Linked DNA regions of Ovis aries. The protein of the gene in region 1 purifies or fractionates together with the protein of each later gene. This does not show direct contact. Links are inferred from orthologs where the notes say so. Each region holds a gene or a part of one and is shown on either strand. Other genes may lie near its edges.

Region 1 (3,974 bases):
TGCCTGGAGAATCCCATGGATGGAGGAGCCTGGTAAGCTACAGTCCATGGGGTCGCAAAGAGTTGGACACGACTGAGCGACTTCACCTTCACCTTCACCTTAGGAGGGAGAAAGGTATATAAAACTCTACCAAAGCACATGAAGACTTCAAAAATCCAGTGCAAGTAACTAAATTTCAAAATCAGGAAACAATTTCTGTCCACTACAGATTCTTTACCTGGGTGGTCTCTTGACATGATATAGAAAAACTTTCTGGCCATTTCCATTTATAAAACTACAATCTATGGGGACTTCCCCAGGGGTCCAGTGGCTAAGACTCCACACTCCCAGTGCAGGGGGCCCGGGTTCAATCCCTGGTCAGGAAACTAGATCCCACATGCTGCAACTAGGAGCCTGCATTTGCAACTGAAAAAATGATCCCAAGTGCCACAGCCAAGACCTGGCACAGCCAAAACATCCCAACTACTCAAATCTATCAATTTCCCCAATAAACACACACAGCATTGTTTTAGAGCCATTTTATTGAGACAACTAAAAACAATTAGATGTTCAGAAGCAGTGTACAATAAAAGAGAAATCAAACTGTTACTTTATCATGTATTCCCTCTTCTTTATAACTAAAGCAAAAAAAAAACAAACAAACCCAGCTTTCTGCTTTTAAGGGAAAAGTCAGAAAAATAGGCCAATATACTTTCCCTCTTCATAATAACATAAACAGCTACAAGAAATCTAATTGTAATAAGAGAAATTGGATGTTGGCTTACACATACTCATTAAAAAGACAACAGACCATCACATTATAAGAGCATAACCCCACCTGCCTTTAGCTGATACTCTTGTGTTCTCACTCATAGGTATCACCAAGTAGGTTAGTTCCAGCACTGGAGCTAATTCATATTCCTCATTATTTACTGCTCATGTCGCTGTAAGCAGAGAGTAACTCTGGAGGCTGACGCTTTTCTCTGCTTGTTTTAGTCCGTAAGTTATGTACTGTCTGTGGCATTTGCCTGATGCTCAGGCCTTCACTTCGGGAGTTGAACTATAGATGGAATCTGAATTCTCTGAAGCAATTTCTTCTACAATTCAAAAACAGGAAGTCACATTAGTCGACTTAAGGAAGGAAAGAAGTCACTCTATATTTCTGTGAGATTAAGGAATGAATCAAAAGTTTTTCAAGCGTGCTGGTGAGGGGAAGCAGAAGAGAACAGTACACACGCCACGAGTGAGGAGCCCAGGCCACTAAGAAGCAATAAGGAAAGACCTGACCACTTCCCAGCGAGCTCTTCCGCTCTAGGCGGGCTCTCTTTGGGGCTACATTTTCAGTGACTTCAACTGTCTAGTAGACACTGAATTAAAGTCAAATTTTTGAAGATCTGGCTCCCTTTTATTGATTTGAATTTAAATCAATATTATATTTGATCAGAGCACATTACAATTTATAATTCTATATTTGGGCAAGAGCACTTGGTGCTTAACAAGTGTTAAGTAAAAATTACAACTGCAACAGTTTATTTTAGCATCCTAAGTCAAACTCTAAGTTCTTTAAGAGTAACCATATCAGTCATCTCCATGCTACATCTCCGTGGCTAGTACCATGCAGTAGGTATTTAAAATGATTTATCTTTTATGTATTTATATGTATATATAAATATACATATATTTAAACTTTCAATTATTTAAGTATATGCTTACATTGAATAGATTTTGCCAATGAGTTAACTAATACTTCCTCCAGGACCCTACAGAAGTTAACTGTTAGTATTTACCTAGCTCCTCTTCCGCTGTCTCTGGAAAATTGATCTTGGGCTTTGCCAGCTCACCACTATCTTCTTCTATGAAAAGAAAAGCAATGATGATTACATGAATTACAACATCATGAGCAAGTTCTAGTATTTTAACAACAAGAAGAGTACACCAAAACACCTTTTTTTAATAACTGTAATTCTAAAATAGTATATCTTTCAGATTCAGACTTTTAGATCCAAACTGTAACTACCTGGGATCAATAACAGCATTTTTATTAAAAACATGTCTACTTTACTAGTAAGGATCAATAAGTAGTAGTATTCAGAGATTAATGGATGATTTATTCATCAGGCTACTCTTTGCTTAAACCTTATTCTAAAGAAGATAGAAACAGAGACAGAATCAATAATGAAAAATGATACAAAATTATGAATAAAAATTCTTACCAGGAAGCACACATTTCCAAAGGCCATATGTTTTTCCTACCACAGTTTGCCATAGTCTCAATGTTCCATCTTCAGAACCACTGGCATAGAGTTCTCCATCAGGACTAAACCTCACACAGTGAATAGGACCAAAGTGTCCTTTGTAGGATTCTGAGAAAGAGAAGGCGTATTAGATAATTTAATACTTAAACAGGACATTAAGTATTGATACACTAGAGAAGATGTGAAATTCCTGAGGGCAAAGTCAAAGAATTAAAACTAAAGTCGTTCTCATCATAAACAAAACAAAACAAAAAAACAAGACTTCATGTTCCAATAAAGATAAAGGAGACTTCCGTGATGGTCCAGTGCTTAAGAATCCTGCCCGCGAAAAGCAGAGGATATGAGTTTGATGCCTGGTCTGGGAAGATTCCACATGCAGCGGGGCAACTAAGCTGCATGTCTCAATTACTAAGCCAAAGCCCTAGGGCCCACAATCCACAACTACTGAGATTGTATTCTGCAAGGAGAGAGATCAGTATGAGAAGCCCAAGCACCGCAACCAGAGAAGAGCCCCTGTTTGTCACAACTAGATGAAAAGGCTGCACACAGCACAGCCAAAAACAAATTTTAAAAAGACATCTAGAAATCTCTTAAAATAAACCAAAAAAAAAAAAAAAAAAAGAAAAAGAAAAAGAAAGGGAGGTAAATGACACCCCACCTTCAAGTCTACAGAAAGCAAGTCTAAAGTCTACCAATTCAATCCCCATTTTCAAATCCTAAACTCACTATTTACCAAGGAAGCAATTCTTACTATGACTACAGAGAACCACCAGATGGAGCTCTTTTACACACTCTGCCTCTCATACTCTCCTAGCAGACGAGCTGTAGTCCACTCGTCATTCGATCAGAGTATGAAGATAAAGGATCAATACCGATCCTATATAGAGTTTAATGAGAAAATGTACACATTAGTAGTGGTGTTGTTCTGTTTAAGGCATATCCTTATTTCCGAGCTTTTCTCACTTACTTTCTAACACCTCATCACCTTACCAGTTTTTGAAACTGTTTATTAGACCAATGTTCTTATTCTGTCTCCATGTCCTCTCAACTCAAAGACATTCATGCACAAGCTTCTCTCAGGGAATATCACAACTGTGATATCATGAATATAAAAAATTATCATAAGAGTAGAAAGAATTTGAGATTTTGAAATAAGAATGTCTGCGTCCAAGGTCCTATATTCACCAATTGCAACCTCAGATACCCAGCAAATAATTTCTCTTCTTCAGAGAATAAAACATGTGGCCAAACATTCTAAAACTTGAAAAGTGACATTAAATAAAAACAGGAAAGAATCTCTATTTAAGTCACTTAATATTCAACCAATAAATTATGAACACTGAACAATTAAAATAGATTCTATTTAGTGTATTCACTGAGGTTCCATTTACCCAACACAATCCATCAGTTTTCCCAAAGAAACAAAACAAAACTGTGTTTTATTCTCTGTGTACAATTCTAACAAGCTTAAATTCATTGGACTGTAAAGCAGGATAGCTAGAAACCAAGTGAGCGAAGTGAAGTGAAGTGAAGTGAAGTCACTCAGTCGTGTCCGACTCTTTGCGACCCCTCTTTACCATGCTCCTCCATCCGTGGGATTTTCCAGGCAAGAGTACTGGAGTGGGTTGACATTTCCTTCTCCAGAGGATCTTCCCAACCCAGGGATCGAACCCGGGTCTCCTGCATTGTAGGCAGACGCTTTACCGACTGAACCACAAGGGAAGAACTAGAAACCAAGTA
Region 2 (3,648 bases), on another chromosome or scaffold:
GTATACTGTCATCCTGCTTATTTAGCTTATGTGTAGAGCACATCATGTGAAACGCTGGGCTGGATGAACCTCAAGCTGGAATCAAGACTGCTGGGAGAAATACCAATAACCTCAGATAGGCAGATGATACCACCCTAATGACAGAAAGTGAAGAGGAACTAAAGAGCCTCTTGTTGAAGGTGAAAGAGGAGAGTGAAGAGGCTGGCTTAAAACTCAACATACAGAAAACTAAGATCATGCATCCAGGATCATCACTTCATGGCAAATAGGTGGGGAAAAAATGGAACAGTGAAAGACTATTTTCTTGGGCTCAAAAATCACTGAATGGTGACTGCAGTCATGAAATTAATAAAGATGCTTGCTCTTTGGAAGAAAAGCTATAACAAACCTAGACAACATATTTAAAACAGAGGTATCACTTTGCCAACACAGGTCTGTATAGTCAAAACTATGGTTTTTCCAGTAGTCATGTATGGATGTGAGAGTTGGACCATAGAAGCCTGAGTGCCTAAGAATTTATGGTTCCGAACTGTGGTGCTGAAGAGTCCCTTGGACAACAAGGAGATCAAACCAAGTCAACCCTAAAGGAAATCAACCCTGAATTTTCATTGGAAGGGCTGGTGCTGAAGCTCCAATACTTTGGCCACCTGATGTGAAGAGCTGACTCATTGGAAAAGACCCTGATGCTGGGAAAGATTGAGGGCAGGAGAAGCAGGTGACAGAGGATGCGATGGTTGGATGGCATCATTGACTCAATGGACATGAATTTGAGCAAACTCTGGGAGATAGTGAAGGACAGGGAAGCTTGGCGTGCTGCATTCCATGGAGTCAGAAAGAGTCAGACACAACTGAGTTAACAACCATTATTATGATACTATTATAATATTGGTAAAACAAAGCATTTCCCTTTGGAGTTGATGTTTTGTAGTATAGGAAGAATAAAAAGCTGTTCACTTAAGTAGTTTATTTTACATCTTAAAAGTAGGACACAACTGAAGCGACTTAGCAGCAGCAGACTTCATTAGATACTTGTGAGATCAAGAGAGTTCCTTGGCTGCCTCCAATGAAATCCAGTATGCAGGCCCAGACAAAATATATTGTGTGCTCACAGAACCTGCATGTTTAACAAATGAAATTGGCCTAGATTTTGTCTTTGAAAAATTTCATCTTGACACTACAAACTGGAATTATTCATGCACTCATTCAATAAGCAAATTAGAGCAAATTAATATTAAACAGATGGCTAATTAAGCATGAAGTTAGTAGTTAACATTAAAAACATACATGCAAGTTGCAATTACTGTCGCAGCATGTTGAATTAATGCCATCACTGTCATTTTAGATTTTCTCTCGATTTAGCTAGTTTTGTATCACTAACTTAATCTTTCACTTTTCTTGGGTTTTACAAATCTCCCCTCAGTAGCTGAAACACATTGAGAATTTGAAACTGATAGGATGCCTACGGAAGTGTTTTTCAGAGCCCTCTGACCTTTTCCAGTCTGAAAAGCCAGTCTGGCTCTAGGCCAGCTTTCATCTTGGGATATCCCTCACCTTTCACCTGTGATCTCTCTTGCCTCTTCTGTGGTGACTGCCTTTCTGAATCCCATGTCTTCACATTTCTTGGTTTGCTCATTTATCCCCCTCTTCCAGCTCTTTGCTCAGATGTTACCTTGTCAGTGAGACGTTACCTGTCAATCTATTTAAAATAGCACTTTCCCCCCCCCCTGGCATATTTTATCTCCTTCCCTAAATGATGTTTCTCCTCAGCACTTAGCACGGACAGTCCATGCATTCTGCTTATTTATTATATGCTCTAGCCCTCTATAACGTAAGCTTTATGAGAGCAGAAATGTCGTCTGTTAGTTCACTGCTGTGTCTGTTAGTGTATCCTACCAGATGCATGTAGGATGGCATCTGGATTATGGCACTCAGTTTGCTGGATGATTTTATGCATGTCCTGAACCCTTGGTCATTTTTACCTGAAAACAAATGTTCATTTCTAGGAAATTTTCCTCAAGTATTCCCTTCCATTTTCCGTTCTTTTTCTTCAACTCTGGTTATGAATGTAGACATCCTGAACAGGCATTCTGATTTTCTTGTGTTTTTCTTCCTATTACCCATCTCTTTGTTTTCTTTTCTCTACTTTCTGGGAAAGGAATCCGCCTATATCTTTTGGTCTTATTATTATCACTCAGGTTTATCTTGTGGTTTCATAAAACTTTCCCCAAACCAAACAAAACCCCAAAAAAGTATTGATAAGTCCAGTATCAGTAATCTCTGAAGATATTAATGATGGATTGTTGATATTGTCTTCTATACACCTTTTGGTTTTTCCAAGGTGTTGTTTTCTGTGTCAGTTTCTGCATTTCATATTACTTTCCTGAAATGTTTGATCAAGCTCATGCTCTGTATAAAAGCAGCACTGAAAGCTGATAGGAAGCTTTGTGCACGTGAATGGAGCTTATCTTCCACTGCAGTCTAAGGGTGAAGTAACTGGATTGCTTCCTTGGGGAACCACTGATGTCTCTCTTTAGGCTTTTCTTCTTGGGCTGAAGACTCTTCTGGTCTCTTACCTGGAGGACCATGTAAAGTCACTGGCCGTGTTCTGGGGAGAAAGTTTACTGTCTTAGCATTTAGTGTGTTGTCAGTGTGGAATTTTGCCCTTATTTCCCCAAGACGGGAATCTGTTCTGCTCTCTCAGATTGAAACCTCTTGTCTTCTGTTCGGATGGGGTGGGATGGTCACCCAGCTGTGTGAAGTTGGGGCAGGGCAGGTATCTGGGTTTCCAGCTTCTTTGGCTGATTCTATTTTTACCCTGAACTTCACCCCAGGGATACAGGATATAAGTTAATTCCTCAGTTTTGGGGGCCATTTCATGTGAGTCAGGTTCTCTTTGCTTTGCACAGCTCTTTTGAGGATTCAGGTTTCTCAGGCTGCCAAGTAAATCCTCCTTTGTCCATCTGCTTTCCAGCTGCTGGCACCAGTATCCTGCTGATGGGAATTTAGGTCATCTTTACTCATTTGCTATTACAAATAATGCTGAAACAGAAATACTTGTATGTCGTTTAAAAAGAAAATTTACAGGTAGATGAGATGGCTGGATGGCATCACCGACTCGATGGATGTGAGTTTGAGTGAACTCCGGGAGATGGTGATGGACAGGGAGGCCTGGCGTGCTGCGATTCATGGGGTTGCAAAGAGTCGGACACGACTGAGCAACTGAACTGAACTGAAAGATTATTATCCAGGTCGTTGAAACATGGTGCATGCATTAATGATCTTTCTTTTCTTTTCTTGTAGGCCTTGAGAGTAATGGCTAAAATTATGAGAGAATGTTGGTATGCCAATGGAGCAGCTAGGCTTACAGCTTTGCGGATTAAGAAAACATTGTCACAACTCAGTCAGCAAGAAGGCATCAAAATGTAAATTCTGTGGCTTTGCCTGAACTCTACTTCTTCTTCAGATCTGCTCCTGGGTTTTAATTTGGGAGGTCAGTTGTTCTACCTCACTGAGAGGGAACAGAAGGATATTGCTTCCTTTTATGACGATGTAACAAGGTGAACTAAAACATCCCAGGATTTCTTCAGACCCAGGAAACTGCCATGTGGGGTCCTTTCTGTGCACTATGAACGCTTCTTTCCCAGGACA

Evidence for each region. Proteins that work in one complex are often made in the same cells at the same time.
Region 2: the proteins of STRAP (region 1) and TGFBR1 purify together in Homo sapiens (affinity purification with western blotting; 3 studies listed by BioGRID and IntAct, with this or other methods). This does not show direct contact. The link is inferred for Ovis aries from reciprocal best matches to the Homo sapiens genes STRAP and TGFBR1.

Annotation. Positions count from the first base shown.
Region 1 is NC_056056.1:199,628,701-199,632,674, forward strand, and holds the end of STRAP (serine-threonine kinase receptor-associated protein), read right to left. Parts: intron 3,957-3,974; exon of another isoform or gene 3,885-3,956; intron 2,343-3,884; coding exon 2,193-2,342; intron 1,833-2,192; coding exon 1,767-1,832; intron 1,077-1,766; coding exon 1,015-1,076; 3' UTR 504-1,014; downstream 1-503. UniProt on the Homo sapiens protein: The SMN complex catalyzes the assembly of small nuclear ribonucleoproteins (snRNPs), the building blocks of the spliceosome, and thereby plays an important role in the splicing of cellular pre-mRNAs.
Region 2 is NC_056055.1:48,711,250-48,714,897, reverse strand, and holds part of TGFBR1 (TGF-beta receptor type-1), read left to right. Parts: intron 1-3,300; coding exon 3,301-3,426; 3' UTR 3,427-3,648. UniProt on the Homo sapiens protein: Transmembrane serine/threonine kinase forming with the TGF-beta type II serine/threonine kinase receptor, TGFBR2, the non-promiscuous receptor for the TGF-beta cytokines TGFB1, TGFB2 and TGFB3.